Linked DNA regions of Styela clava. The protein of the gene in region 2 purifies or fractionates together with the protein of the main gene of each other region. This does not show direct contact. Links are inferred from orthologs where the notes say so. Each region holds a gene or a part of one and is shown on either strand. Other genes may lie near its edges. The genes, in order: iron-sulfur cluster assembly factor IBA57, mitochondrial-like; iron-sulfur cluster assembly 2 homolog, mitochondrial-like.

Region 1 (16,480 bases), on a different chromosome or scaffold from region 2:
GGGAAATTTGGTTTGGAAAATCATGTTTTTGCGGTAAAATTGGTCCATTAAGATTCCCATTACACAATTTTTAAATAAAGAATACTCCTATACCTAATTTTATCCTTTATACTGGACCATATGTACCTCTTGTATAATAATCTCAAAATTCAATCAAAAGGCAAATATTGTTATATAACACAGTTACAATCTGGGTTCATTGATTGAATGAAAAATGGAAATTTTGCTATTAAAATTTCTGGTGAATTTACTATGATTTGAGAGTAATTTGACAAACCTGATCTAGCTCTATCTGAGTTTCTCACAGACAGTGGTGTTGGTTTATTCTGTTCGTTATAAAGTTCAACAGTAGTTCTTCGATTCATTGTACGTGCTGGTTTTGCTTGCGGTGTTGAAAACACAAAATTATCACTTATATTTTTAGTAGAAATTTCTTTCGAAACGAGGGAAAATGCTTCACGGAACTCTAGTTCCCTCAATGCAAGAAGACACAGTCTGAATTTCTGTAGGTGACCTAAAACCTGAATAGCAAATAAAGTTATTACTCTAAGCCAGTGTTTCTCTGAATTTTTTCTTTTGTAACCCACTTTTGTCGCACAAAAAATTATGTGGCACTTTCCATTTAATAATTAAAATGAGCTTTACCACTCAGTAGCATAAACAGCATCATCATTCAATGCTACTACAATCAAAGTTGAACTGATTTATCAATACCAAACAATTTTTAATAGGTTTGTGACCCACTTGAAAATGTAAACGAGCATTGACTCGCCAGTTTATTTTATATTCCGACAAAATAATGTGTTGCACAGGGAAAAAGGTTGTTTAATTGAGAAATGGGTATGGGTAATGGCAAATGTGTTAAGTATGAATAAATAGACAATTTAACATATTCTAAACAAGATTTATAATTTACAATTCCACTAACGAGGTTTGACTTTCAATAAGCCATTATTTATATAATTTTGACGAGTTAGTAACTTCGAAATACTCAATTATATATACCTGAATTATTGAATTCAAATAACAGGTGTTTCCCAAATTCCGTAGACCTGTGACACCAGGAATCAATGAAGTAACAGCTTTATTAGGTATATTATCATATAATGATGGCGGTCGGTAAGAATCCAGTCTTTTTCGTTCCTGTCTCGATCCGCTTGCACTTATTAGACGTCTAGTACGGTGTGATGTTTGTGCTGCGGCTTGCTGTTTCTTTCTCTTTTTTTGTTTATCTTGGATTGATCGAATCGAATTTTTTGTTGGTCGAGGCCTGAATAAAGGAAAATACATGAAAAAGCTAAAAATGCATGGAAACATAATTCAACTCACTTGTATGCAAGACTGAATTGAACAGGGAGAATGCCCATGTAGTAACTGCAATGGCCTAGCTCTTTGGGCAAGGTTTTTAGACCAGGGGCCAAAAATTTGCCCACAAAGACTGATGGGCCATGTACAGATGCGAGTGTGACTTAAAAAGTTACATTTTATGAACAATATTCACAGTGTTACAAACAATAAGCTTCGTGCCAAAACTAAATTTAATCGCAATCTCAAAAAATTCCTTGAGCTATTTTTCTGATAGAACGTCAAAATTTGGTTTTAGGTTGGTGGTGGAAGCATCAGTCGAGCCAGGTTTGGTCCGCGTCTGCTCAGCTGCTTACATGATATTGTTTGGACTAAAAAGAGTAGACATCATCCAATCCAAAAAATAACACAAAATATTTATTCCATATAATGAAGGTATTTATTTTCACATAAGTTACTAAGTTGCATACTTAGTTTTCTTTGGAACGATTCGTTTCCGTTTTGGTGGTGGATGTCTTTGTTTTATTAATTTTACAGATTGTTGCGGTTTTCTTTGCACAACTTTCTTTTTAGATGTCGTTGATGCTCTCTCTTTCTTTTTGTTAATTTTCTTTATTCGATCGCTGCGCCGACCGGACGGTCTTGGTCTGAGACTCATTTTTCTTTGTTCAGGAGAACCTTCTTCACCGAACTTTGGTTGCGAGGGTATATTTCTTTCTCTTTTTACTGTTGAAGTTCTATTTAAACTGCCAAAAATTTCCTTGTATCTGGAAAAAAAAATGCGATTTCTTTTCACAAAGGTACTGAGTGGGAATAATTAGGAAAAATGATTTAATTTTTAGGTGCTTTTCTTTTGTCAATAGGTCAAAGATGGCCAAAATAGAATATCTTACTAATGGGAATATATTTTAAAGGGGTATTTTCGAATATATTCTTGATTGAGCAATCAACATTAAATAAACAGAAAAATTTGAAAAAATCTTTGCAAATTTATAAAAATTAAATTGGGAGGTGCAGAGTATTCCAAAACAGGGAATTTTACAGTGGCAATTATCTTTTTAAACTATTCTTACATTTTTCAAAGCAATATTGCTTTATATACACATTGACTTGAAGCTTACTCATGCATGGAAAAACCGGCAAAAAATAATAGTATATAAACGATCTACACAATACCTTGCAGCCGCATTAGATCTTTTTGGTCTCGATAAAATATTCAAAGGAATCACAGGAACTTCAGTTACATCAGAATTTTCTTCCTCTTTTGTGACATCATCTTTGATGACATCATCAGTTAGCATGACATCAACAATAACATCTGCGGTCTCATTTACTCCAGGTAAACTCTCGTTAGATGACAAATGACATGATGATGCATCGGACATCGCAAATTCTTCATTATTATCGACGCTGGGTAATTTCATAACCTGCGATGTACTTTGATTGGAAGAAAAAGTCTGCGGCAAATAAGATATAACATCCGAGTTTGTAAGCGATATTTCAGTAATTTCAGATAATTCCGTCATATTCGATAATGATACATCCATTTGGATATCTTCTTCTATTAAAGGCAAGTCAGATTTTATATTTGGAAAATCACTAACATCAGTGTCCGTTGTATCTGATTTTGTATCCGATTCAGAATTTACAGAGATTTCAGGTAAAAGTAAATTATTCTCATCATCACTATCAATATGATGTGAAGAAGACAGCACCTTGATATCGGATTCCTTAGTCGGCAAAGAAATGAGCGGTTCAGATTGGCATGATTCTAAAAATGAATTAATTTTAGTACAGCAAAGTAATTTTCTATTGCTCAATACTGTGCGAAATATGCCACTTCGAAAACATTCTATTATTTCAGTTAAAAAAAGATGTGATATAACAATCTTTGTTAGTTATTTAGGCTTGGAAATTATGGCAAATCACAGCCCCTTCAATCAGTCCCGGTGCATAACTTTACAGCAGTAACGGACCGTACAGCAGTCACATGAACCCTCCTGTGATTCAGCTCAAATATAAAAAAATCTGTTACTATCTAAAACATTATATACCACCAATACCACCCGCTTTACTAATTTTTTGGATTTACTCAAATCGGAGTCGAGTGGACTCATTCAAAAGTAAAAGAGACTCCTCTCCAAGAAAAGTTACGAACAACTGAAATGACAAACAGTATACATTTATGGTGGAGCATTACAGGCCAGTTCAAGTCACTACGACATGGAAAACTGTTGAAAGAAGCAATTTTTCAAGCCAAAGATGGTGAGTTCAAGTCAATAATTAATTAGTGTTCATATCAAAATGGACAGACTATTTTACCTGTGAGATCTGGTGGTTCCATTACAATATCTGAGCTTTCAGTTTCAGTGTCATCATCACTACTTTCTAATGGGAACACAGTTTTTGTTCTTTTCCAATGAATATATCGAACCCATCGTCGGAATGCTTTTCGTTGTCTAACAAACCTAAGACAAAAGAATAATGCATAAAAAATTTGAAATAAAAAATTGTATACAATGAGAACGAAAAGAGAATATCGGTCAGAGACCGAAGACTTATCGATCGAAAGTTAGGGGATCCCCCAAAACAGCGTTCTTACTCCATAGTGACACCTTGTGTCCCATCACTAATTAATAACTCGCTAATTATACGACATAATTCATCCAAAATCAATAGGCTTCTGGTCCGACATATGATGAATGCACATGCAAAATCTGGAGCAGATTCAATCTCGCTTTCATGAGATATCGCGTGCATCTAACAGACGAACAGATAGACAAATACCTATCAACATACTTACCGATTGAAATCGATAAGTAATTATGTGGAATATATCTCTTCTCTTAATAGTAATCTCTTATATAATCTTCTCTTTAAATACTAATTTTGTTTGAAATTTAGTACACTGATTGTAATAAGTGTTTAAGGTTATTTTTCGAATAGTCTTTGAAATAGCAAAAATAATTGGTGTAATATGATTAACCATATAACACGTAGAATGATGTTGCTGTTCTAAAACCGAAAATTTACTAGCTTGTTGCACAAATAACTTAAAATAGGCTGTGTTGGTGCCAAGGTAACTAGACTTCTTCCTTGACTATTAACTCATTTGGTATTACTAATGAACACGATGGATATCTTAACTTCATTGATTATTGACTTTTTGATAACAGAGGTAAGGCGAAAGAGTAACAACCAACCTAGAATGCCAAATAGCAGTGAAAAGTCTGTCATCTCTGTCTAATTGTTCTTGTTGCATTTGTCTTCTCATTTCAACATCAACTTGTTCAGTGATCATTGCTGACCTTAAAGTATGACCACTGCGAGTTGTTCCAGTGAAGTTTTGGTATCGAATGGCCTGGATGAGAATATATGAATGTTGGTGATCGTGAATTTAAATAATTTATATGGGTGGGTCGAAATTACTTGGTAGTTCATTTACTAATCACGATCTAAATTGAATTTATTATATTGATAATCGTGAAGTTTATATGTCGTTTTATAGAGAGTTATCTGAAAAGTTGCTGCCAAATACTTGCCATTGTCATATAAAATTATATAATCAGGTCGGGTGGGTTTTGTGGGTTCAAAAGTCTATGTATCAAAGCGATGGTTGGACTGAAATATGTTGGCATTGCAGATAAAAATCTTGGGTGCTCCCGAAGTATGCGAACCAAGATGGCGGACATCGGAACGTAACATGGGCAACAGGTTAGGGTTAGGCGATAATTTTTTCCAATTTTCCTTATTTTAGTCCTATTATCAGTTCGAAGACTAGTCAAGAGCCTCCCGTAGTATTTATACATAAAATTATGGCCTAACCCTAACCTAGTACACATATTACATTCCGATGTCCGCCATCTTGGTTCGCATACTTCGGGAGCCCCAAATCTTGAGTTTAGATTCCATGGCAATCACCTCCCCCAAGGTGTAATAAGTTGGTAAGGTAATGCCAAACCAGAAACATAGTAGTTATCCTTCATTTCAGAGTTGCTTATAGAAAGCCTTGTTCAGATTATTTTATATAATACATTCTGACATGTCTCATGATTTTACTACATAACACATCAAATCAAAAATAATAAATGAGGTGAAATTAAAATTAGTTTGACATCTGGAAACGTAAGGAAAAAAACTTAACATGTCTGCAAATTGCAATACTATAAAAAAATTTTCTACTTCTTCTCTGGCAAAATCACAAAATTTGTTTAGCAGATTTTACTAAAACAAATTTCCAACAAAGATTCAATCACGAATCCGTTCTATCTATAGTACATATATGAAATTGCGTTCTGATTTTATTAATTCATATAATATCTTCCGGTAGAGCATTAAATTAAAATTTATCTTAACGACATTACTCCTTCCAATTTCTTACCAAAAGAGTTTCTCTGAGGACTTTGATGTCACTGGAATTATTATCATTAAGCACATAATCATCACATTTATAACAGAAAACATACAGTTCATTGACATCGATAACCAGTGGATGACCAGATTCTTGAAAATGTGTTAGGGCGTGTTCTTTTATAAACCTGCAAAACAAAATTTTTTACATTACATATATTCAGTACCACGTATTCTTGTTTATTTGTTACAAATACAATAGGCGCAATGGCCAAGTGGTAAAGATGCTGAAGTAATATTACTGATTAAAAATCTTGGGTTCAAATCCTATGTATGACACCTTACTCAGACTGTAATAAATTGGATAGGCAATGACGAATTGCAAGGAATCTGGTCCTTCCAAAATATCATAGGTTCTTACCTATCGGATGCTTATACAGAGCCTTGCCCAGAGAGGTGTATAAATAGGTCGAATAAAAAAACAATATGCCTATTTAATATTATATGGAACTAAATAAGTTTGAGAAAGCCTTTTTTTAGACAGTAGTGCTCAAACATTTCTTTATTATGTATACACGTACACGTATACACGTATTTCCAACATGCTTTATAAATAAAACATACTTTCGCCTTACTATCTGTTATTCGTAGCTTATTGTTAGCTAGTTATTTTTGAGGTGGGGCATGAGACTTGGGATTTTCTAAAAAGGGGGCTCGGCTCAAAAATCTTGAGAACCACTGTTTTAGAGCATAACCACTCGTTTAATATAGGACAAATTGACCTTTTGTTTTATAACCAATTTAATACCAGGTGAAAGTTCATCCTTATATTTTCATGATTTGATATCTTATGTCTGGCCCAAACTTGATTTAGTATAACAAACTAATATTTGGTAATAGCCAGCTTAGCAATTACAGTATTGGAGAACTTTCTTAAAGCTTAGTCACAACTGGCCAAAACTAACGGAAAATTCTGATGTCATATTATGAGTGAAAAAGAGGGCTCCAAAGACAGATATAATTTCCTGACGCGAGCAGATGAATTATCGAACAAATACAATTGTCTGACATTTGTAAATTTGTTGATTTCGAACCCAGTTGTATGAACACATTCACATACAATCATTTTGAAATACATTCCTTTATCAAATAGAAATTTTATCTCACTTACCAAATTAATGAAATAAATATATACAAATGATGAATGTATATAAATTCAAATGGCAAAAAAAATTAGAGCTTTCATGCAGTTGATTGATCATTTAGGAATGCTAATATCTGGTCCATCTATGTCCGAAAGCAATAAGTTAATAATTTATTCAAAAGTATATAGGATTGACTAAAAACATTGATGATACAAGACCTTATTAATGTGCTGAGTACAAAGACACAAAACAGGAAATATATCTCTCTACTCTTGAGTGAGTTTCTATCATGTGCGAGTGAGCTTGTGAATTTGCAGAAGTAAAATTTGTGTTATTGAAACTAATTGACGCAACAGGGATATCGAAAAATAACAACATATCACAGTAAAACATACAGAGTGTAGGCTTCAGATACGTACCTGCCGCATGCTACATTCGGGCAACTTAGACACGCCCATACAGATTCTGTTGTGAAGCATGTTTCACATAACCATCGCTGAGGATTCACAATCGAATGTCGTTCTCCAATTCGAATCTTTCGAATATGCTTACAATTACAAATGCTCAATTCATAACCAGTTGTCAACCGAAAATTTGTACATCTCGCCAGATAATTTTCTTCTTGTTTAACAATTGTATCTCCACCCTAAATAAATTTCAATAATTATAGATATGTTCGTGTTATTATTATAGAATTAATATACATGGAATTATAGGTACCTTTGTGCACGGCTTGGCACCTTTGCAACCACCTTGCAACTTCAAATTCTGATTATCAGATTTAGATCCTCGTTTTGGGGAAGATTTATCGGCATTTTGACGTGGTGATGGCATACGAACACTGCTAGCGTTGTTTTTCATTACAGATCTGTGTTTTGACGTCAACTAAGTTAGTCAGAAGTTTCAACAGCTGCACAATATAAAAAATGAAGTAAAACATTCAACATAGTATAAAAATAATACAGTACAGCACACTTTCCGAATTCCAAGAATGTCCCGTCATTTGGTTCAATAAAACAAACACTCCATCTGTCTCACAAACGAGGGCCGTCTAACACAATGATAGAGGTGCCATATGGCGTCATGTGTGCCCCGATAATAATGTAAATTAATCGTGGCCGTCGCATGATCAAAATTGCTGTTTTTGCTAAAAACTCTCGAATGCCACGGTAGAAAGTTTTTCCTTCTGATTCCTTATTATTTTTTCCAGAGGAATTCAACAATGACGTTTTTAGATTGCGCTTCTCTGTAGTTTTTTGCCCAATTTCATTTTAACGTATATTGAGGGACAACAATGTCCAGACGTCCTCGAAAGGAGAAGTGTTTGTTCATCCGCAAAATGGGATTCTTTGGAACGAGACAATGTCTCTCGATCTGTTTAGTGTGCCGTATTTTAGTAGTAAATGCCTCTATAACTAATTCGTTTTACATCTATCGTAACAATGTGAAAATCTTAGTTTAGTTTTTCAACAGCCGTGCTGATTGTGTAATGTAAATTACTCTATAATTTATGTAGAACATCAATTTTATATAAATGGCCGTATGTGAACAATATGTTTGGCAAATACGGAAATCCTGCTGTCCACTTCCCAAACCACAGAACCAACAACATCTGATTCCTCAAGCGGTCAAAGAAGAACTTATCAATACAATAACACAAGACTAACAAACTACTGAACTACAAGATGCTATCTGTTTTAGAATAATGTTCTTCTGTTTATTTTTAAGCAGTTAGTAGGCTAGGCTATTTCATTACTAGGTTAGTACCATAGAACCTTCAAAAATGGCATGTTTTGACACCTGGCTGCATTTACAGATTTGGGTATTGCTGAAATTAATTGCACTTGTAAGTTTTAAATCAGGTACATAGGCTACCCATATTAATTTGAAAAAAACTATACTTAACAATAAAGATTACAGCATTTTTACAAGCACGAAACGAACCATGGGTATCAACTTATGACATCTAAATACCAGGATACTAGGATATCACAGCAACGTCACCACGCTTCTGCAGCTGGATTTGCCTATTTTTGAGCTGAGTACTGGAGTAGTAACTGGCTTGCAGGGTAAGGTATACCAAGTCGATCTGTCAAAATTCATGGCATTCACATCTAACATATAGATTCATTAACAACATTACGCAAATGACCGAAATTCCGCTCTAACTGCAATGAACAAAGCATTGAACGCGGGCAACGACTTCCTTCGCCCAACCATCTCCAGCAAAAATAACTCTGTATGGTGACGTCACCTGTCATGCTCCAGTAGTCCCATTATCTTTCATTTTTTCTCTTCTCTCGTTTGTAGGAGAGAATAAATTACCAGACAAACGTGGATGAGCGTGGGCACGTGATAAATGTTTGACGATGAGCAAACTTGCCAGGGCGGTGCTTGGTTTCTCAAAGGGTTTGTTGCGTAATAATTTTCTCGCCGAGGTGCTTCCCGAATAAAAAGGTCCAACGGGCATTTTGAGAAGGGGTGGAAATGACAAAATGATGCAAGCAGTTAGTCATAAGTAAGAAATACGAATTTACATCCACTTACGCTCACTGCAATTGAAGCATGCTTTTTCGGTGAGTCACCAAATCACGAATTAATGAAAACAAAACTTACCAACATTTCCATAATGAAAACTGATAATAACCGGCCGACAAGTCAACTACTGTAATATACCTGTATGTAGTTAGCAGCAATGCCATTAAAACGTTTATGACATAACAATGAAATTGATCTTTCATTTCTCATAATTAGTCTTATTACAGATGTTCTTTTTCGGTGGAATATGAACCAACGAGAGTCCCGGAATGTTTTGGGGGTATACGAGAACTAAACGCTACTTTGAAGTTCTTTTCTCGCATACATTGCTTTCGGAAAAAACGAATCCGTGTTTTCGCACATGATTTCCATAAAATCAAGTACCAGTAATCGCATCAGTCCTGATATATTCTGCATTCGCAATGCTCAACACTATGTAATAATGACTCACTGAAGCAGACGTGTTTTTTTCCGATTAAGAATATAAGATTCGATCCATAACTAAATGGATAGGTTCCCATATTTATCTCCGTGTAGCAGACAATAAGCATTTGGTGTAGAGTAGAACCACCATCTTCTCAGTTCTCACACGGTGGCTCAAGTTGGTCATGTATTTGTTTCAGGTGTATAGACTTCATGTAGGTGTTACCGAGCAGTTTCCATCTCCAATTTGACGCCCAGTGACCGTATTCGGCCATCCCTAATTTGACTATTTTGCTACCACCACTACAGACTGCGAAGAGTCCAGCTGCGAGCCGTGTATGATTATCACAGGCGCTATGATACCGTAACGCTTAGCATCGTGCGCACCAAAGACCATATGTACCTTTGTATGGATGGCCTATATTTGGAATTGAAAGAGATGTCGGGTAAGACACAAAATTTAAAGATCACGATGTTGTTGCAAGTGTCCTTGGACCCGTCTGCCGCAGCTTATGTTAATTTTTTATTTTACTTGCATAACTCAGATATAAACTCAATAATTGAGACAAATTTTTCCTTTTGACTGAGTTTTTGTTTGCATTGCCAGGAGCGTGAAAATACGGTAGCCTACCGGTACCGTACTGAATTAGGATCTGATGGTGAAGGAAGCTATGGATGTTTCCACGAGCATCAATTTCCATGTTTCTTTCCGTAATGCAGTAATACCTAATGGCCTATCGGCAATGAGTTAATATTGACAGATTGACGTAACAATTAAAGCTGTAAAGTTAGTGAGGCCACTCAGACACTTGTTTCGCTCAGACAGATATTCAAGAATGTTAATACAGTAATACTTGTTTGACAAATAATGAAATACAAAAATACCAGATTGCTTTCTTACATCACTGCGTCTGCATGGAGGACTGAGAGATAGACATATTGTGCCCAACTATCTTTACTATATTTACAGATAACTGGATAGGGGCGTAATCGTCAAGGCACTCGCTTCTTTAGATCCAGGTATCTATTTTCACCATGCCTGTCTCATTTTACAGTTTTACTCTTGTCCTCTTGTTCATGCAATTCTAGTAGTCTGTTAGTGGTCATGAAGAACTTTCATATTCTGTATTTTATTATATATTAGTTTTGCCAATAAAGTCATATCTTTTTTTTTAAATATGGATTGTTGAAGTCAATATAAACATGAGATTACAAAACTTTTTTTAGAAAAATTATTGATTGACTGGTATTAAGGTATACTTAAACTTCCTCAAAATTTGAAACTCAACAATACTACAATATGACAACATTAACAAAAGAACATGTGATGAATTGCATGTTCTCAAAATGGTATTCACAATTTTCAGACATCACAATAAAAAGGTAGGAGTTGATGAAATCTTATTTTATTTAAAATGTCTTTGGCTATGTCAAGAGTTACACTATTACGACGTATCTTTCCGCGGTTCTGTTCGAAATCAAAAATGCTGTCTAGTGCAAGGCATATGCATATTGTTGACAAGGATCAGGATAATGTCAGATATGCTCATTTGAAACATCGGAGTTTACTTGAACTCGAAGGACGGGATGTTACCAATTTTTTACAAGGGATTATAACCAATGACGTTGAACTTCTCCCTGAAATGAAATGCATGTATGCAATGATTTTAAACCAACATGGACGCATTATGCATGATATTATGTTATATCATCAACAACACGACACAGAAAACAAAGTCCTTCTTGAATGTGAGTCGTCAAATTCCGAAAGTATCATTAAAATTTTAAAATTATATAAACTGAGAAAAAAACTGAGTATTACACCCAGAGATAATCTATCGGTGGTGCAGGCAATGTCTGGAAATTCTTTTCATATTTCTCCACAGTTCAGCAATGTAGTCACTTCTGCCATTGACCCGAGGGTCCCAATGCTCGGGCATAGACTGGTGGTTGAAAATATGTCAGAAAGTGACTCTGCATTAATTAACATGGATATTAATGCATATCATCATAAAAGACATTACATTGGTGTTCCAGAGGGTCCGTTAGATTTGCCACCTGGAACTTGTCTGCCCTTGGAATGCAATCTTGATTTTATGAATGGTGTCAGCTTTCATAAAGGATGTTATATTGGTCAAGAGCTCACAGCTCGTACCAAATTCACCGGTGTCATTAGAAAACGACTTGTTCCTGTGAGCATAGAAGGAGAAGGATCTATTGAATCTGGGTCTTCAATATACACAGAGAAGAGAAAAAGTGCAGGAAAGTTTCGATCAATGCATTCTGATGGTAAAGTAGGTCTTGCATTAGTGAGACTGAACTACTCAGGAGAGACACTTTCTTCAAAAGATGGTCAGCTAAAATTTCGATGTCATATTCCAATGTGGTGGCCATCTGAAGATGGCACTGAATTTTCTGACGGAGTTTGTGGCCCAGCAACAGAGGAAAACATATGATCTTTTTATTTCGATTTAACAAATATTCATCTATTTTTTGCTTACATTTATCGCTTTTTAATCTCTCGTATTAATTTGAATTCAACAGTTCTTTGATTTATTTTTCGAGGATTCTTTTAAATTATATAGTGAATTTGATTTATACTAGATGCAATGTAAATTAGTTTTTGACATATATCAGTAAATAACACTAAATTTCCTAATATAATTTAACTATTAGATTGAAATTCATAATTTTCAGGCTATTGAACTCTTAATACTGAATATGTTGAAGAACTGTAATTGTTCACTTCAAATGTGTTTAATAATCGATGGCTGTCATTTGTGGATTTTTGTTTTTTAGCTTTATTATACCATTGCCGGATGATTTTGTTGAATATTTGCAAAAAGATGGTCCATTGATATTACCAAAAGGTGCTGATTTAAGTATACAAAGTAATTTCGATGATAATGAAAATTGGTCAGATGAAGACGAAACACAAAATGAAAATGAGGTTTGAAGATTTTCTAAGATTTCGAATCTGTGATATTCTTGCCTTTGTAGGGACGCCAAATTCAGTCATAATTTGAAAAAATGGATTCATAATTATCCTAACTTACTAATTCAGAAGATTTATTACAAAAAAATTCTGGTATATGTATATATTATATACCTATTTCAAAATATACCAGTACTGGGATTGCAATATTTTTGCTTGGAAATATTGGATTGTGGTTTATATACTTATGGAGAAGCAATTGAAGAAGACAATTGTTGTTTACAGGCACCTCAATTCACTGCTCTTCTGGAACAAATCAAAGAAGTTTTAGAGAAATTAAATTGGAAATCATTTCCAAAATTGAATTGGAGTTCACCCAAAGATGCTATTTGGATAACATCGAATAATAGTTTGAAGTGTAACACTCCAGGTGACTTTATGTTTTTATACCCTTTTCATGAAATAGGGTTGTTATTGAATACACCACTATGTCTGGAAAAACTTGAAACTAGGTTTGGCTACTTCCTTGTTACATTCTGTCTGAGGACAATGGTCCTGATTGACCCTTAGCCATTATTGCCAACATAGATGAGGCTTACTACTAGCATTTTTGCTTCTGCTTGTTACAGAATGCCTGATGCCAAAACTTGGGCAGTTAATGTTAATTGTTGTTGAAAATATTTTCAAACTTTTCACTGATTGCGTATCATGCCGACACAAATATTATTACATCAAAGAGGAACTATCAATTAGAATCTGTTCGATTTATTCCTATGATGCACTCGAATCACCTTGCTCATTTGTTTAATAATTATAAACAATCTTCGTACAGCAATATATTTTTTAAAGTGTGTCCAAATATCAGAAATTAGAGTTCAAAATACTGCTTCGTGAAATTGAATTCTTTTCTATATTTATTGTTTTATCAGGTGACATCATTTTACTTATGAAAAGTTCCGACTTCATCACTTACGATTTGACATCTCCATTTAAACTATGTACTGATGATTCAATACCAGATCCACAATTCCAGAAAGAAGTAAGATTTTAATCTTTTATAATTTGTTCAAAATTATATATATGTCGTTCTTTCCGCCAGAAGGGATGTTCACACCCGAATTGTATGTTTTCTGGAATTTTATTCAATTTAAATTAGAATATTTTATTGAGATTTATATTACATGATATTGACATAAATCATGTTCCCACTGCAAGGATGTCAAATTTTAATAATCTGATTATTAAATTAGATTAACAATTTCAGCATCAGCATCAAATCAGCAATTTCCAAGCATCGGAATATTGATATCAGCAAATATTGTCATAAATATCATGCATGTATAATGCATCCTATAATTGTTCTTTTTTTTTTATCATTATTGTAAACTGTTTGTCTGAGGAAGTCTGCCTTTGGTCAGATGGAACAATACAAAATAAAATTTATGAAAATGTGATCCAAAATAAAACCGTATCTTTTTTCTTATCAGATTTATTAAATATTTTCAGTTGGTTTTGAGGAAATGGGCAAACTTAGTACCTGGAATGGAATTCAGATGTTTTGTACGAAACCACAAACTCATTGCTGCGTGTCAGAGACATCATCAACAATATTATGAATATGTTGAAAGCCAACAACAGTCTTTACCTGTAGAAATTTGCAGATTTTTTCAAGAAAAAATTCAACATAAATTTAATAATTCTAATTGTGAGTATCTTGTAAAAGAAAATGATTGAATGAAATATAAAGTGTCTAAAAATGATTTATTATGTTACAGACTTGACAATCATTATTAAACCAATGATCACTTTGTGTGAGTGCTACAAATCTGAATCTCATGAAGGATTAGAGAATGCCAATATGCCATAACCATTGGCAAAATTTTACATTACTATTCTCTCTAGTACCTGTGTTATTTTAATGATTCAAAAGTACTGAATAACCCAATTTTTTTTAGATGTTGTTGACATCTACAAGAAGAGAGATGTGAGTATTAATAGATTTAACTAGATCATTGTTCTTAGAAAATATATTTTTCAGTTTCGGATTTCTGAATTGGTAAATTAGATGATCATGATGTAATATAGGAAATATGGTATTCCCGAAGTATGTGAACCAAGATGGCGGACATATAGCTTATGCTTTTTACCTTGATGACTAGACTTAGGTTGATTAAGAATTTAGGTTAAATTCATTCATTTACTAACTCTAGTTGTGTTTGCAATTGCTTTCTATGTTTTGCTGTTATTTTCTCAGTAATGAACCAGACCCATTTTATTGTTTCATAGTAAACTGTCGAATGTGCTCACTTAATGACCTACAAACAACATTTTTCTTGTTTCAGGGAAAATTCTGGATAATTGATTTTAATCCTTGGGGTTCAATGACAGATTCATTACTGTTTACATGGGAAGAATTGAACTCTTTTGTGCAATCACAATTAACTGAAGAAGATTGTCCCATTATTACACCAGGTATATTATTGTATTTTTCATAAGAATTTGCTGGATACAAGGTCATGTGCACATAAATAAAATCGAACAGTTTAGTCAGAAAAAACATTGTTTTATTTTTAGATGGTGAACCCATTGGAATGTTCAGATTTGCTAAGAGAGATGCAACAATGCAACCAAGTGAAACGCTGAGTTATAGAATGCCACAAGATTTCCTAGATTTAAGTCGCGGTGAAGACGCAACAAAACTAGTTGATTTTTTAAGAATGGTAAACTAATTTTGAATTTACTCAGCAGTGATTGAATGTGGTGGTGTGTTCCTAACTACTGTTTCTGCGGACTTCCTGAAGTATGCCCACCAAGATGGCGCACAACCTGAACTCCGGTTGTGTACCAGTTTAGGGTTCAGGTTGTGCGACATCTTGATGCGCATACTTCAGGAGTACCGTTTCTGCTCTATGCCTTTGTGTAGGTGCACCCATATTGCACTAGTGGCAAGGATACTGTGATAAAAATCAAAGCAGCTATAGCTTTGTGGTTCAAAGGTTAAATTAAACTTTTAACAAATTTTATGCTGTAATGTTTTTATGACTGAACCCAGAATTTCTCAGACAAGCAGTTCACATTTGTTTTACAAATTATGGGTGTTTTGGCCAGGAATATAACAGAATGAATTTGTGAATGTCTCATGCAGCATTATTCAATATTACTACCTAAGTTTATTGTACAGTAGTTAGCCTAGTTAGGAATGCTAACACCTGGTATAGTCTTTTTTCTGAAAAAGGGTATTTAATGTGATCTGTATCAGCTAGATTTCATTTCTTTCTTTCACTGTGGAATTCAAATATTTTCCAGAAAATTCAAAATGAAAACGACGATTCATCATCTGATGATGATGAACCTTGGCAGTTACCTGCTTCCAACTCAAACACTTGAACAGATAGCCAATTCCAATGATGATTAGGTGTTATGGAAAGCCGATGTGAAATTGGCATGATCAATTGATCTGGTGCTTCTGTTGGATGTTGCCTACATGGCATGGCAATGTGATAGGCCAAAATAGTTCGAATTAAATTTTTGTGCGCATAATAAAATTTTGTAATACTTCTTTTGTAAACGGATATAGAACAAAATGTCAGGAGACTGAACAAGATTCCGCGATAGAATTCAATAAAAATATGCAGATATCGATATGGTTGAGTTTGCTCAAAGTATAAATCTTGCTGTTGACTTTACTGTATACCCAGTGTTGTACCTCTGCTCAATGCGTGTTGTACGCCCAATGCATTTTTCACCGCTTGTTAGGACTGTCATCTTCTGGCGAGTATCAAAC
Region 2 (16,888 bases):
AATGTACGTCGATATGCTCGTCCATATGTGGTGTTTTGCATGGACCGAAACTTATACACAGTTTACTGGGAGCTAGAAAGAGTAGTCGAATATTGTGTAATAAATTACATGTGATGGGTGGTTTGTCTTCTCGTCCTATTTTTCTTTAGTGCGCGTTTTTTCCTATTTTATTTTGTCCTTTTTTACACGTGGTCAGCGTGAGTTGAGCGGCAGAGCAGAGAATTTCAATTTGTGCGACGGTTATCAACTCTTTTTTGCGAGATGAATGTTAGTATTATCTTAGCATCAGCAACAGCGCGTGTTAGTAATTCAAAAAACAAGATCTTGTATTCAAAAGTAGTGTTTTTAGTTGATTAATTCTGTCTGCCACGGTGTTTACCCGTCATCAAACATTTTCATAAAATTCAAAAAAATCGCTTGTTTAATGAAATCAAAATGTCAGTCATTAAACAACATAAATTTAGTTAAACTATGTGACGACTGCAGCAATAACAGGTAAGAATTTAAGATGTGTTTTTGCCTCACCTTGCTAATATGACGTTTATTCACGCCTTCAGCTTAAATAAGAACAACCACCGATATGCAAGGGGTTTGTATCATTATGCGTAGTAAAGGCGACGCCTTTTTTGTTATCAGTATTGCCAGCTTACTCGGGCTTCTCTATTGTTCGTTTGTGTGCTACTTTTGAATGTCGTGTTGCGAATAATTCATTAATTTGCGAGGGAAAGTTGAAAATATCTAATCACTTCAGTTAATAAAAATTTTGGACACAAATTAATTCAAGCTTCCCGTACAAAGGGGTTGGGAAACACAGGTATGGACTACGTTGCATGCATGAAACAAGCGCATGACCTATATTAAGCCCACGTTTCTGAAGCGAATGCCGAAAACTCATGCCTACCTAACTTTCACCGCCGAGTCATTGTGCCATCTTCTATTACGTGTGTTGCCCCCGCGTTTCCTCCCACGGGCGCTTATGTGTAATCAGTCAGACGCCGCAGGCAACACTTGTCACGAATATGCACAATAGATGCCGAAGGAAAACTCGCATATTATTACTTCTTTCTACATCAGTATGCTGTAAAAGTCAAGTCATTCTATCGTGAAGCCTATAAGGTAGCCCACGTTTTGGTTGTCATTATCTCAAGTACGAAGCCTCAGCAGATGGACAGTATTCTTAACAATGAAGTGTTAACTAGGTCGTGATATGATTTTTAAGCGCAGTCCTAACCACAATATGAATTCAAACAACTAGAATTTAGCAAAAAGATTCATATGTACTGTACATCTTGTAGATTCAATGTTAAATCAATTTGTAGCCAGGGTATTGGCAAACAAAAATAGGCTGAGTGAAGTATGACCCTCGCTTGTAAACATTGCGGGGCGTTGGGTAAATAGAGCCTGGTTGTGAACCTCTTGAGTGCAAAAAATTCGATGGGGTTCAAACCAAAGGTCAAGAGAAGATACCGGTACACATTGCGTCACTCCCGACGAAAATTATGCTGTCTTGCAAGTTGGTGGTCAAAGGGCAAACGTCCGTGAGAAATGACATCGTTTTTGATTCAGCAATGCGGGCGTGTGACCTACTTTATCTCGGCCGTTTTTTTTTATATTTCCAGACCCTATACCGGTTATATTTTTTGGTGGGAAGAAAATATAATTAAATAAAATAAAAATTTTACACTAAAGTAGAAGGCAGAAGTCAGTTATGTAGATGTAGTCATAACGCACTGACGTAAGTACTTACTCCTGTTTAAGTAGACACAGAAGTTAATAAGACTGTTTAATCCTTATTGCTGCATAGCAATACAGTCAGTCTGTGACTGATTTTTCCAACAGCAACTTCTAAGCATCAGTGCATTGAAATAATCTGTGTTCGATGTCTATTTTTGTAGGTCAAATAAAGCTAAATCAATGAAAAAAGGGAATCAAATTAATTCCATGCCATAGGCTAAACTTAAATTTTTCTTATATATAGGCATATCTGTATATAATATATAGTCTATCTATAACTTAACATACTGCGAATTTTAGCCCCAAATAATGTGAAACTATAGATAACGTTAAATTTTTAACACGTTGTGTTATCATATGTTAACAGTCTAGCCAAAATGCTAAATGAAATTTTATTAAAAACATTTGAGGATGGAAAAACCATCAGTTGTACTGTAGAAGGACACAAACTCAATTGCAGTGGGATTATATATGTCGAAGAAGAAGATCCGCTAACTTATACAGACAAATGGTTTTGGATATATTTGGGGATTTATGTTGGTTTGGTTCTCATCGCTGGATTAGTAAGCGGTTTGACAATGGGTTTACTTTCTTTGGACATGCTAAGTTTAAATGTTTTAGCTTCAGGTGGGAAGCCAAAAGAAAGAAAATATGCTAAAAAAATTATACCACTTGTGAAGCGACATCATTTATTACTTGTAACATTGCTTTTAACAAATGCTGCCGCTGTGGAAAGCATGCCATTATTCTTAGATCGTATTTCTGACCCTGTCACCGCAATAGTTGTATCCGTTACAGCAGTTTTAATTTTTGGAGAAGTACTTCCTCAAGCCTTATGCACAAGATTTGGTCTTGCAATTGGATCAGCACTTTCACCCGTGGTGAAATTCCTAATGCTTATCACTTTACCAATATCATGGCCATTATCTAAATTCCTGGATTGTATACTCGGTGGTGATCATTCAACATTTTTCAGAAGAGCAGAATTAAGTATTCTGGTAGATCTTCATCAACAGCTTGATGCAGAAAATGAGGACCCACTGTCGAAAGATGAAGTGATGATAATTAAGGGTGCGTTGTCGATGAGAGACAAATTAGCTCGACAAGCTTATACACCAATTGAAAAGTTGTTCGCTTTGAATATAGATGGAGTAATGGATGAACAGACAATGGAAGAGATACTCAATACTGGACATTCACGAATCCCTGTTTATGAAGGAGACAAGAATCATCTTCTTGGAATTTTACTTGTAAAACGATTAATAAAGCTTGATCCAGATGAGAAAATACCTATACGGGAAGTGTTTCAAAAGGAGAAAAGGGATTTACCAAGAATAGTTGAAACAGCTCCGTTATTTGATCTTCTTAACCAGTTTCAAATGGGAAGAAGCCACATGTGTTGTGTCACAAGTAGTGATGATGCTGATATGGCCATAGGGATTATAACTTTGGAAGATGTGATTGAAGAATTAATACAGGAAGAGATACTTGACGAAACTGATCTGGACGTCATGCGAAGATTAAGTATTGCTGGGGCCATAGCTGTCAGAAGAAGGACTATGGATGCATTATATCGAGGTGCATCACCTCGAAACAGTCCCAGAGATGGCGGTTGGGGAGAAACAATTCAGGAAACTGATGAAGAAGAATATGCAGACGTATCAGATTCTGATACTCGAGCTTTAATCCCATGAAATACAGTAGAGACCACTTTTCCTTACCAAAAACATTCCTAAGTACAATATATATGAACGAAATAAACTAAATCATTGAAACAATACAGCAGTATACAAATTTCAATATCTCTACATTGAATAAAAGGTTATGTCTTATTATACGTACAGTTGATTCCCATGATCATCCCGTCATTTTACTGAAATCTAATTTCGCTAGTTTTTACCTTTTATCTGTAGTGTTTTTATTTTAATCATGCATTGCACTCATTGTCATTCTATATTTATTCTTTTCTTACCTGATATTAGAAATGAAGCGTTGATGCTTTGTACAAAATATATAGAACCGTGTACAATTGTTAGAAAGTTTTGTGATGATGGGTAAAATCTGTATATTGCCCTACCCGCAGCTTGATAAATTCATAGGCCTTGCCACCGCCACAAAATGATGCTGTCCAGACTGCATGGGAGTTTTAATCTGCCAAAACATTCCTTGATTAACTATTGTGAGTGTTACCTACACTTGGCCTTATCACCTGTGTATGGACACTAAAGTGGTTGGTTAGCAAATTCGGTACTCCCGAAGTGTACAAAGGGCCACAATTTTATTCCGATTAGAGTTCGAGGACTCCCCCTGCCCATAGGTTTCAGTCCCTTTACACAACTTGATATAAAATAGGCAAACAAAATTATTCTATCGCATTCTATTCCAAAGTTGATATTCAAATGCCCTTTCTTTAATGCACCTTCATGATGGAGGGGCTGAATAACAAATTGGAACAATGGAAACATCATGAATTAAAAAAATTGTAATATTTGAGACTTCCATTCAAAAGTTACAAATTTAAACTGATACACCTAGAGGACATTGGTTTATGCATGCTGTGTCTGATATTCTTTTCTCAACAATATTATAAATAAAGGTGTATATTTTCAAACCTGCCAAATGAAATTGATTCCGAAACTCTTTATAATATATTTCTGTAAATCTTGTAAAAACAAAAATGCAGAAGCTATTAACAAACATTTATGGTATAATAATATATATCCAAGTTCTGAATTTACACCAGTAATTGCTTAAGAGAAAAACGTCTTTATTTAAGAAGTACAATGGAACTGATTTACAAAATTGTGAGAATAGTCATCAAGAAGTGAAATCGTTACGGTGACATTGAACCAAATCATGCAGATTTCGTGTGAATACTTTGATTTGTGTGTATTACCTTTAGTGAACAAAAAATAAATAATACAGCTATGACACATTTTTGTGTGTTATCAGATAATGGTTGGCATAGCGAACAGTTTTTCAAGAAACCCAACAAAGGCAGGTTGAGATTTGGCACTTAAGACCATTTAACCTGAACTTTCTGGGTAGGAAGCTTCTATTGGTCTACTCAACACGAGGGTGCAACTATAAGACTCAAACTTTGAGCCTGTACAAAACGCAATTTTACTCATAATAGGGGAGTCACAGTAAATATGATTTAAAAAAATTATAACATGAATACATTCAATAGTTGTATGAAGCATTAAACAATATAAAATACTATAAATCAACTGAAAATGAAACTCCGCAGGAGCAGCTAGTACCCGACTGTGGGTTATCAATAACTCTGAATGCAGATTTTATAATTTCAGTTTGGTAGTCAATTTTAGATCCCTTAATAAGATCAAGAGAATCAGAGTCTGTTACAACTTCAACTCCATCTCTTGTAAACGTTCTGTCATCTGCTTCTTTCGTTGTATCGAGATCAAATTTATATGAGAATCCAGAGCACCCACCACCTTCCACTGATACTCTGAGAAACTCTCCTTGTTTAGAAAATTTCTTTAGGTGTTCAACACAAGATTCTGTCAGAATAAGGTCAGCATTGTTCAAAGGCTTTGTTTGAGCATTTTGAGACAGACATCGACACACTGTGTGTGATGATGAAATATGAGATATAGATGGCATCAAACGTGTGAAAATTCTCCCAACTGTCGTAACAGTAGACATGGTGCATTTGAGTATATTCGAGACTTTTATAAAGTTGTTTTTATCTTGACTTAACCAAGGTATATCATCAAGTTCACCAGCACTAGAAATGGTAAATTATTTATTTACAGATTTAAAACTATACAAGAATGATAAATAGTCAAGAGTGGTGACAGATAGGTGGTTCCTGTCTTGTAATTTTAATCGCCTCTCAGATATTTGGTTTACACTACTTTTAAAAATACTACATTTGATGCACAAATATACAGAATATATTATAACATCCTAAACACATCTGTTTGTGCTCAATCTTAATACCGTACCGGTACTCTTGCAGCACTGAGTTTTGAATACCATGATACTGCAATAAAAAAAACAGATACTTTATATGTTCAAAATAAACTATCTTAACCTTAACTGATACAACCATTCTTGGCACATTTCCATTTAGTTGTATTATACCCTATGATTTCATGCAAGTCCCTGCGGTCGAATGATTACAAGGGCTACCTCGACTATACAGATCGAAAGTGAGTGTCATGATTGCAGGTGTCCAATCTTAGAGACCCATCGGATATATACGAAAATCTTACCCTATTCACATTCACACAAGAAAAAACAATCGTAAATATGCGTGATTGTTTGTTGTATACAATACTCTCGAAACCTCTGTGAAGTTAGCAGAAAGTCACGAAATTGGAGCTGACAGAATCGCAGAAAATTCCTACACGTAAAATCAAATGTTCCCAATCATTTTGTGCTGGGAAGTGTATATTTTGAGTGATTTACCGATAGCAATTAAGGTAAAACAATTAGTCATCACACTATTCATTTTTTTAATATATATTAACACACTAAAACAACTGTAAATGTCCCAATTTCAAATTCCAAGCTGTATTAAAGGGTTCTTTAAAATTGACTGAATTTCAATATTGACTCGATTTGGGGCAGGTATTTCTCGAAAACTTCCAATAAAGCCAGAAAAAAGACATATTGGGAGAAAAGAAGAAACCTCATAGATTCGAATTCATCATGAGAGAATAGTAGCAGCACGTTTTGAACTGGCCATATATAATACCAAACATAGCGTATTTTTCGTTAATTTTAGGAATAATATATATAAATCATAGTTAAAATTGGTTTTGTATTTCCACTAAATAATCAAACTATTATCTTTTTTAGTTTTTAATACACGATAATAAACGTCTAATACATTTAAATCGGGTATCGGAGAAAATAAAATAGGTAAAAACATTTTACGCCCCTCGTGGATTCTTTGGGAAATTTCGAAATGTTACAGTTTTGAATGGGCGATTTCCCGAAAACCTCCAATAAAGCCAGCATAACGACATATTGGGGGAAAAGAAGAAACCTTATAGATTCGATTTCATGATGACAGAATAGTAGAAGCACGTTTTGAACTGGTCATTTATAATACCAAACATAGTGCATTTTTTGGTAATTTTAGAGAAAATATATATAAATCATAGTTAAAATATATATAAATCATGGTTAAAATTGGTTTTATACTTCCACTAAACTCACTAAATAATTGAACAATTATCTTTTTTTAGATTCTAATACACGATAATAAACGTCTAATATATTTAAATCGGGTATCGGAGAGAATAAAATAGGTAAAAACATTTTACGCCCCCTCGTGGATTCTTTGGGAAATTTCGAAATATTACAGTTTTGGATGGGCAATTTCACGAAAACCGCCAGCATAACGACAAATTGGGGTAAAAGAAGTACTCTCATAGATTCGATTTCATTATGTCAGAATAGTAGCAGCACGTTTTGTACTGGCCATATATAATACCAAACATGACGTATTTTTTTGGTAATTTTAGGAAAAATAAATATAAATGATAGTTGAAATTAGTTTTAAATAGTAGTCATATTGGGGGTGTCAAAATAGGGCTGACGAAATGCGGTCATTGCGTGTCAAATTGGCGGTGACGAAATAGGGTCGTCGAGTCAAGTTAGGGGTGACGAAATACGGTCGAGGCGTGTCAGAATGTAGATGGCAAAATATCACTCAGCGTGTCAAGTTACCGTAAAACAGCGAGCTGGATGAAATCAAGAATCAGAAATTCGCCGAGTATTTATATGTTTATTGTGGCAATTGAGCCTCTGTTAATTACTATCAACCTAAATAAAGATGTGAGAGTATACCGGTAGTGACGCTAGGGAATATAGAATTAAATAGAAATTATTTATGAAATCGGCGATGACAAACCTTCATTTATGAAATGGTGCATGCATCTGGTGTTTTATTGCATGAATGAGGAACCGATCACGGAGCAAAATTTTGGAAAAGAGCACGCCGTATTGTAAAAACAGTCAACGCTCAAAGGAACAATCTCTCGGAACTTCGAGTCCTAGATGTAACATTCAATAAAAATCAAAAACGGAGGCATAGTTCGGAGGCCAACGTTATGAAATACATCTGCATATTTATTATCTTGTTGTACAATGTTGCCTGAAATACGTTTGTGTTCGTCGGGAGCTTCAAAACAAGATATGAAAAACGAATAACAGAATATTTTACAGTTGGTTGAATTTTTTTAAGAAAATTTCCGTGTCCTCAAATAGTGTCAAACAATTTTTTTCCTATTTCTATTATTATATTTTATTTAATTATGCATAAAAATGACATGAAAAAAACATGATTTATGTCATCGTGCAAAGTGATCGTGATTCAATTTAAATTTGACGTACGACTGGGATCACTCTGCATAGGGGGACTAAAATTAACGAAATCTCTCTATGCAGAGGGATCGAGTCGTATGCCAAATTTAAATTAAATCAAAATCAGCTAATTAAATTTAACTAAACATTGTAAATAATTCTTAGTTTGTTTCAAATTTTTTCGATTATTAATTTGACTAACATTTTTAATGTGAAGGTATGTTTGATATATTATGACGTTTTGCTCTTGAAGTCTTGAACATCTCGAAATAGTAAAAGATTTATCATATTTTAAGCGGAAAGTTTATTTGTTTTGTCAAACAGAAAACAATAAAACGACAAAATATAATTGTAAGCAACAAAATCTCGGTATAGACTGTACAGCAACTGGTATCAATACGATCGTGTGGACATCAAGATCAGTTACCAGTACCACTCAATATTTATAACTTGAATAACAAGAGCTTTAGATGTGATAAATTGTAGGTTTGTCCGAGACCATCAATAACTTTTAATGGAAGAATAATTTAGTTGGCAAGCGTTTGGGATGCTATAAGCAATAATTAAATATACCTAGATATAAATTCAGACAAATTACTTGCTTGTTCAATTATGATATTAACGAATTTGACATTTTTGATTGATGACTAAAATAATAAAATAAGGTTTTCATGTGAGTGTATGTCATTGGTTACTTAAAATATGTAAATGGTGAATGACTCGAAGTAACGTCTATATGGGGGCATTAAAACGTCACTGCAATAGTCAAGTTGTTCGAGTGTTAAAGTTCGGAGCAACAAAGTAGGTATAAAAAAAGTAATCATATCAAAATTAAGCTTAAATGTTTTTGTATGAATAAGGTCTACAAGCATCATGTAAAATATCAGTAAAAATACCCATGTTAGAATGTAATTGACACTGGTTTTTCATTCTTTTAGTTAGAAACCGAATTCTAAGAGAATGTCTTTAAGAGATGAAACGCTATTCAGAAGATGTTAAGTAAGTGAAACGCATTCTTTAGTGCAGGGTGGTCCAACCTTTTTGGCCGAAGGGACACATTTAGTTCACGAATGATCGCGCGGGCCACTTGACATGGTGGTTATGTTCTAGTTTTTACTACGCCGACTGCAGATTAATGAAAACCAAACAAAACCCGCAAACCAAAATTATAAGCACAATGAAAATACGAAGATACAGTAAAGTCAAAAGTTTTTACTACGCATATATATTTCAATGTCAAGTATGACACCGCTTTCATCCAATAAGTTTGTCAATATTCGGTGCGATGGACGAGGTAGCAATGCAGAGCGAATTTTTCATTAGCGAAATTAGTGATCTCAGGGGGATTCGACATGGATCATCTGTGAAAAAACTTGCTCGCACAAGTAACTACTGTCGAATATTGAGGTCATGAAAACTGCCTCTTTTAGCTTCGCAGAAAAAAGACAGGGAATCAGATTGAAATACATGGCATACGATAAAAATAAATTCAAACATCTCTCTCCAGCAACTACGCCCACAAAGAGACATAAAAATAGCTTTCGATAGCTGGGCGGTGCTTCTCGCGCGTTTAAACGACGAGGAATAACTTTTTATTAGAGGTTTCAATAATGGCTCAGATTTATGAAAAACATTGGGATTCGAATAATATCGCGCGGGCCACTCGGAAACCTTCAGCGGGTCACATGTGATCACACACGGGTCACACAGGCCATGGGTTGGTCGACCCTGCCTTAGTGCCACCCTTAGTCCCACCCATACCCATTCGTATATATTCCATCTGATGCATCTAAGAATGTACAAAGTCGAAATGAGCAAAAGGTTTTGAAAGAAATGAGTCCAATCCGAAAATTGCACTCGAAATGTTACGGAGAATCTTTTAAATGTTTATGTAAATATGAAATGATAATTATACGGCTATGTGCTATTCGGTGGAACCTTTTAAATTAGTTTGTTGAATTCTAGATTCGCTGGATATCATTGGATGCCACATTTGAAATATACAGGGTGGTCGCTAGAAAAGCAGAAATTTGCAAGCTCGAATGAGATCAAGGATAAAATGCATTCTTACTAATTTCTTAGACTAAGATACTGCTCTGCACAGACGACATTTTTAGCATCCATGAATGTAATATAGCATATGCCTTTAATAATTTCATTAAAGTCATTCTTTGTAAAAATTAAATGTTTGATGAATTTTCTGCTTTTATAGCGACAACCCTGTAGTTCGCATAGACAAGCAACAGTAGCAATAAATAAACTGTAAAACAAGTATTATGATAATGATTGATTACAATTGATCTAATGACTCGTTTTTAGGCAGGTATTTCTCGATGACCTCTAATAAAGCCAACATTACGACATATTTAAAGAAAAAGGGAAACTCTATAGATTCGATGTATTATGATGACAGAACAGCATCATGGTTCAACATGGTCATATAGAATGCCAAACATAGCGCATATTCAAATAATTTAATGAAAAATATACATGTATCATAGTTTAAATAAATTATGTAACTAAATTTACTGAAAAATTGAACAGGTATCTTTTTACTTTGATACTGAACGTCTAATACATTTAAAACAAGTATCGGAGAATATAAAATAAAAAACATTTTACGCTACCTCGTGAATTCTTTAAAAATGTAGAAAAATTACAGTTTTGAATGAGCGATTTTTTGAAAACCTACTATAAAGCCAGCATTATAAAAAAAGGAAATCTTGTAGATTCGAATTCATCATGGCAGAATAGTAGTAGCACGTTTTAACTGGCCATATATATTACCAAAAACATAGTGTATATTCCGATAATTTTATGAAAAATATGTATTTATCGTAGGTAAAAGTGGTTTTGTATTTTGAATAAATTTAATAAATAATTGAACAATTACCTTTTTACGTCTAATACACCGAACAGAGACGTCTAATACACATGGAATAAGTTGGAAATGGTATAAAATAACTATAAACATTATACGGCTTCTCGTGGATTTTATTTTTTATTTTAAATAATTACAGTTTTGGTTGGTCGATTTCTTGAAAACCTACAATGAAGCCAACATTACGAAATATTAGAAAAAAGGAGAACCCTTCTAGATTCCATTTAATCATAGCGGAACAGTAGCAGCACGGTTTGATATGGCTGTATATAATCCCAAACACAGCGTATAATCTTCGAATTTTTTACAATTCGAAAAATATTCCAATGGGGTTTTGTGGTTTAACTCAAATTTACTAAATACCCGAGTAAATGTTTTCTAATACTATTGTCCAAATTCCGTGTTCTACGTCTAACAAGTTGTTGTAATTTGCGTAAATTACAGTGTAATAGTAGAACAATTTACGCCTTCTTGCGGATTCATTCAAAAATTTTCGATGGTGAAAATAGGTCTTCTTCAAACAGCGATTTCTCAAAAATTTCAAATAAAGGCAACATTAGGAGAAGAGGAGAGCCCTTCTATATTCCATTTGTTTATAGCAGAACAGTAGCAGCACGGTTTTGAAAGTTGGAATAAGTTGCGGCTAGCTTACTTTGAAATAATAAAAAAAATTCACGCCTTCCCGTAGACTCTTCAAAATTTTCAATATATCGTTTTTGGAATGGCTATATCTCGAAAACTTTTTATAAGCGCAGTATTATGACACATTGGAAGAAAAGAAAAACCCTCATAGATTCCATTTCATCATAGTAGAACAGTAGCAGCACGTAATATCAAACACAACGCATATCCTTCGATATTTCAACAATTCAGACGTAAAATCTTTTGAATTGGTTTTGTGTTTTATCTAAATCGATTAATGTCAACGTCATCTCGAGGAAAATAAACTTTTCCAAGAAGCGATTCTCGAAAGCTTCCTCTTTAAAATATGTTACATTTATACGCTATATTGAAAAGTAAAAAGATAATTGTTCAATTATTTAGCGAATTTAGTTGAACTACAAAACCACTTTTAACTATGATACTACATATATACTTTTCATAAAATTACCGGAATATACGCTATGTTTGGTATAAATATATGTCCAGTTCAAAACGTGATGCTACTATTCTGACATGCGAAAATCAAATCTTTAGGATTTCTTCGCAGCGACCGTATTTCGTCACCCCTTACCTGACACCACGCAGCGACCGTATTTCGTCACCCCCAATCTGACACGCACCGACCGTATTTCGCCACCCCTAACTTGACTCGACGACCCTATTTCGTCAGCCCTATTTTGACACCCCCAATATGACTTTTGTGCTACCACCCCTGTAGCTATAGTCTGGTAACGGGACGGGAGGCCGTGGTTCATCATATGATTAAGCCGTGTTATCGGCTTTCCTCTCCCCCGTGATAATGTTTTAGCCATTTGAAAACATTGTAGCAATTAAGAACATGTTGTTGAACGTTGTTGATGTAGTTTAGAACTTATCCCTAAAATGTCAACGAAAAACACACAAATCTGAAAGGCGATTCAAAGTCATCGAAGGATGCACAAGGTCTTGACCCAAAAATGAAGTACATTGCCTATCTCCAAGGGTTGTTGCTAGCAACGCCATGATATTTTGATCGCTCTGCGGTAATCCGAGCACACAATAAAAGCTACCGCATACAATAGTGGTCAATTTTGAGCCTGAGAAATCTCCCCACAGAATTACTTCACCACCGGAATTATTCACGCTATACTGAAAAGCCTAATTTTATCTATCTAGAGGTGTTCGTAGGAAGGAACAGTGAATCGTTCACGAATAAAGAAAAAGGGTGTCGAAAATAACGTATGATAGTGTGCCTCACTGCAATACCGATTTTCAAAAAAACAAAAGTTGAAAAAATGGATTTATTGAAATGGATCGTCCTGAACGGTGACTTATTTGAGCAAAAACCTTCGCTATTTTGGGAAGTGATAATGACAAATATTCTCAAATCCCAAGGTTCAGAATATAGGTTTTCCGTGCTATTTACACTTTGGTGAATCCCTACAAATACTTTTCTTGGAAATTTGACACAAAACTCGCACATTCCAGCACCTTTCAACGTACTCACAAATGCTGTCTAATCTCAGTGTTTTTCTTACCTTATATTCAGTGGCACAATTGAAGATCGATTATATATTACGGTATATTGTTGTCACAAACCTTGGCAACTATCCTGAATTTATTGTCCTGTATGTTGTCATTTTGTGCACAATGACGGATGTTATCTATTTCTTCAGAATTCGAGCAATTCAAAAATCGATTAAAAATTGCAATACCACCTTCATTATAGCAAAACTTCATAGGAAAGTTTCATCGCTTGCTAGCTCAGTAGGAAATATTTCAACTCAAAAGTTGATCGATAGAAGCCTGAAATTTCGATTCGGAAAAGTTTAAAGTCGCCAACTACAACTGTAGTGCCCCGATATAAGTCAAATTCTGTGAAAAGCAAAACAGACGATCTTATTACCATTAAGCGCACAACAATAGATAAAAAGACTAAAATTGCACAAAAATATATTCAAATACTGCATGTGTCTGAATTGGTTGATGTTATCAGTCCAGTTTGGATAATAATATCATCTAGTAGAGATCATCATCCAGATATCTTCTAATTTTAACACAACACCGAACAAAATGGCAACGAAGATGACAAAGAACGTTGTCCAATGGTTGAACCTCGCTGCGATTAAAAATAACACCAACACTGACTAAATGCATCAAATATCAAAAATTCAATAAAATCGATCAATAAAAGTGAAACATAAAACAATGCATAAATTAGGCTCAGAGGCATTTGGACTTTTTTAAACAAATGCAAGTTCTCAAACAAAACCATTGAAATTCCTTTTCATGGCATGGTAAAAAGATTCTTAAGATAAAATAATACTATGATATATCACAACATAAAATTAATATTGAATTAGGCATGAATCGCATAAAATTATCTGCACAAATAGAACAAAAAATACGATAAAGACATTAATATATATGTAAATTTGCTTTAATAAGAGTGATAAGAATTAACGAGTGATGGCGGCTCCTTTGACACAGTGAAGGCGATTTGTGTTGTTGTTACATGTACTACTGCACAATGCATTCTGTAACAGAAAGATTAAAAATCGTGCAAAACATATTTTTACAACTAAACAAGGCAAACTATGGACCGGCCCGTTGGGTAATTCAATCTGGCCTGCCTGATGCTGCCACAACCAAATTAAAACCAATTTTTGATGTTTTAGCTAAAAAGTAACTCAAGAAATTTGTTAAGATTGTGATTAAATTTAGTTTCGGCACAGACATCATTGTTTTCCACTTTTGTTTTGTAACACTGTAAATATTGTTCATGAAATGTAACTTACACGGCCCGCGAGTCTAGATGGGCAAAATTTCTGGCCCCAGGTCAAAAAACCTTGCCTATCCCAGGTGGTAAATGATACGAAATACAAAAATTTACGCAAACGAAAAAATAGAAATCTTAGGTACTTTATGTAATTCTCTTGAAATAAGCATGCAAGCGAAATACTAAAGTTGAAATGCTTACTTTTTGTATTATGATCATCTTCCTCCATTATAACTTGAAACCGTGGTTTACGATGTTGTGAAGATGCTGGTTTTTCTTTCTCATCTTTTGAGTTCTATTTTATAATAAAAATATTGAGTCTTCCAATACGATTAGTTAAAATTAATTATGTTATCTTGCTCATGCTATTCTCACGAATACCTTTTATAAACAACAATTGGTACGCCCGTAGTGTGTTTACCAGGTTAGGGTTAGGCAATAACTTTATTCCGATTTTCTTCATTTTAATTCTATTACGAGTTCCGGAGCTGTCTGTTTTTGGCCAAGTGAATATATCCCCCTGCCCATAGGCTTCCGTCCCTTTACACAACTCGATGTAAAGTAAGAGAACAAAATTAGTTACCTCCATATTGGTACACATACTTCTGGAGCACCAATCAATTTAGTCTGCAGCCATGTTTATACAAGAAAATAACACATGATTCTGGCACAACTTCAAATTTTACTTTTTGAATGAAAACTTGGCACATTCTTACCCTCAACTTTTCCCTGACATCCTCTGCTCTTTTCAAATAAATTTCTATTTCATCATGTAATGATTTTTTCAATTGTGTGTCTTTCTCAACTGAAAATAAAATGTAATAAACCAAATTTTGAATGACCTGTAGACATACGCCACAACATATCATCTACAAATATAAGGGTATATTACACATGGTTTATATATTAACTGTGCTGTGTGAATGAAAAAGCACAGAGTCCTTCATGGATGACACATTTTTATACAGATTTTTTGAAATTTCGAAACAATTCTCATATCACTGCGTCATAGCCAATTTGAAAAACCTCGCAGAAGCATTCTTAATGTTAAATGTTTAGAGAAGTATTGTACAAATACCATTGGACTTTGCAATTAGATAAAATAAAATTTATTTCCATTTCAAGAAATCAAAAACTAACCTTTGGATAATGATATTAAAGCTTCTAATGCTTTTTCATATAAATCCATTGCTTCTTGCAAATTATCTTGCCCTGCCTGAAAAAATAAATGATAAAGGATAAGTTTGGTACAAAATCTATATTGGAGAGTTTGGGTTGTACCGGAGTACTGTACAAAGTTTGGTGACTCACTCATTCAATACCACACGATTTCAGTAATTTCCAGAATTAGGGTAATGAATGTCTAAACTACCGTAAGTGAAATGAACGCTACACAATCAATAATAATATAGCAGATATTCTCACACAAAACATATCCTTTTATGGTTTGTGTACCAATATGAAGGTAACTAATTTTGTTCGCCTACTTTACATCAAGTAGTGTAAAGAGACTGAAACCTATGGGCAGGGGGTATATTCACAGTCCTCGAACTCATAATAGAATTGAAATAAGTAAAGTCGAACTAAAATTATGACCTAACCCTAACCTGGTACACATACTATGGAAGTACCAGAAAAGATTACATAGATATTTGATAAATAGAAAAATATAGTACCTTATTCTGTGCAAGGTGAAGCATTTGTAACGCTTCCATCACTTCTGGTTTGCTTTGAGCATATTGCACTGAAACAGTAATACATTTTAATAAATCAACACTTTATAAATATCTTTTCAAAGGAAGTTCTCTGGGACTTACTGGTATTTGCAAAAATGGTGGGTGGCTTGAGTAACTGATTCGACACAACTCGAACAACAGGTCACTAAATGACTTGGACTTGTCATCGTTCTCAATTTACCATCAATGAGACTTGACTCCGAGCTTAGGAAGTTCTACCCTTTGCTAATAAAAAACTCCCTTGCAAGAGTAATCCCATTCAAGCGCGCTCACAAAGAGGTTCTAATCCAGTGGTTCCTAAACATTTTTTCCAAAAATTTATGGCGGACCCCTCGCAAATGATTCACGGCCTTGTGCACTGAAATTTTTAAAAGATTTAATAATCACAACAAAAAATCAGAGTGCCGTATGGTATAGTGGAAAACACCTCTTCCCCCATCGGCGTTTATTACAATAAACCCGAACTTTACATGAGATTCGTCGTTTTTCAATTTCTTTTTAGGAGACATCTTGAAATTAATATTACAGAAATGAAAACGTAAATATATAGAGGCCTACCGTCACTGTATGTCAAAGGCTAAATTTGACAGTTATAAACTAAAACTTAGTGCCTCTCTGGGTAAGCTCTACTTACCTAACGCTATCTACCTTTCACTATAAAAGCGTAAAACAGCATTTAAAAGCGGACTGGCATACTTTATAAATTGCCCTATTGCAACTCCCTCCTATACCAACAAATGTGCAAAAAGGTAGCGTCAGCCACACCTCTGCAGT

The links.
Region 1: the proteins of iron-sulfur cluster assembly 2 homolog, mitochondrial-like (region 2) and iron-sulfur cluster assembly factor IBA57, mitochondrial-like purify together in Homo sapiens (co-immunoprecipitation; 4 studies listed by BioGRID and IntAct, with this or other methods). This does not show direct contact. The link is inferred for Styela clava from reciprocal best matches to the Homo sapiens genes ISCA2 and IBA57.

Annotation. Positions count from the first base shown.
Region 1 is NC_135258.1:10,861,277-10,877,756, reverse strand, and holds iron-sulfur cluster assembly factor IBA57, mitochondrial-like, read left to right. Parts: upstream 1-11,144; 5' UTR 11,145-11,176; coding exon 11,177-12,217; 3' UTR 12,218-12,560; downstream 12,561-16,480. Other genes in the region: ubiquitin carboxyl-terminal hydrolase 44-like, read right to left, coding at 278-521, 1,006-1,270, 1,776-2,072, 2,482-3,076, 3,628-3,773, 4,509-4,666, 5,687-5,843, 7,220-7,446 and 1 more; translation initiation factor eIF2 assembly protein-like, read left to right, coding at 11,062-11,144, 12,561-12,711, 12,982-13,126, 13,626-13,735, 14,203-14,401, 14,652-14,680, 15,039-15,168, 15,271-15,416 and 1 more. UniProt on the Homo sapiens protein: Mitochondrial protein involved in the maturation of mitochondrial [4Fe-4S]-proteins in the late stage of the iron-sulfur cluster assembly pathway. Operates in cooperation with ISCA2 in the maturation of [4Fe-4S] proteins.
Region 2 is NC_135257.1:17,400,542-17,417,429, reverse strand, and holds iron-sulfur cluster assembly 2 homolog, mitochondrial-like, read right to left. Parts: upstream 5,511-16,888; 5' UTR 5,404-5,510; coding exon 4,954-5,403; 3' UTR 4,093-4,953; downstream 1-4,092. Other genes in the region: uncharacterized protein LOC120345518, read left to right, coding at 2,112-3,428; serine/threonine-protein kinase ULK3-like, read right to left, coding at 13,615-13,718, 14,580-14,673, 15,095-15,183, 15,519-15,594, 16,055-16,122. UniProt on the Homo sapiens protein: Involved in the maturation of mitochondrial 4Fe-4S proteins functioning late in the iron-sulfur cluster assembly pathway. May be involved in the binding of an intermediate of Fe/S cluster assembly.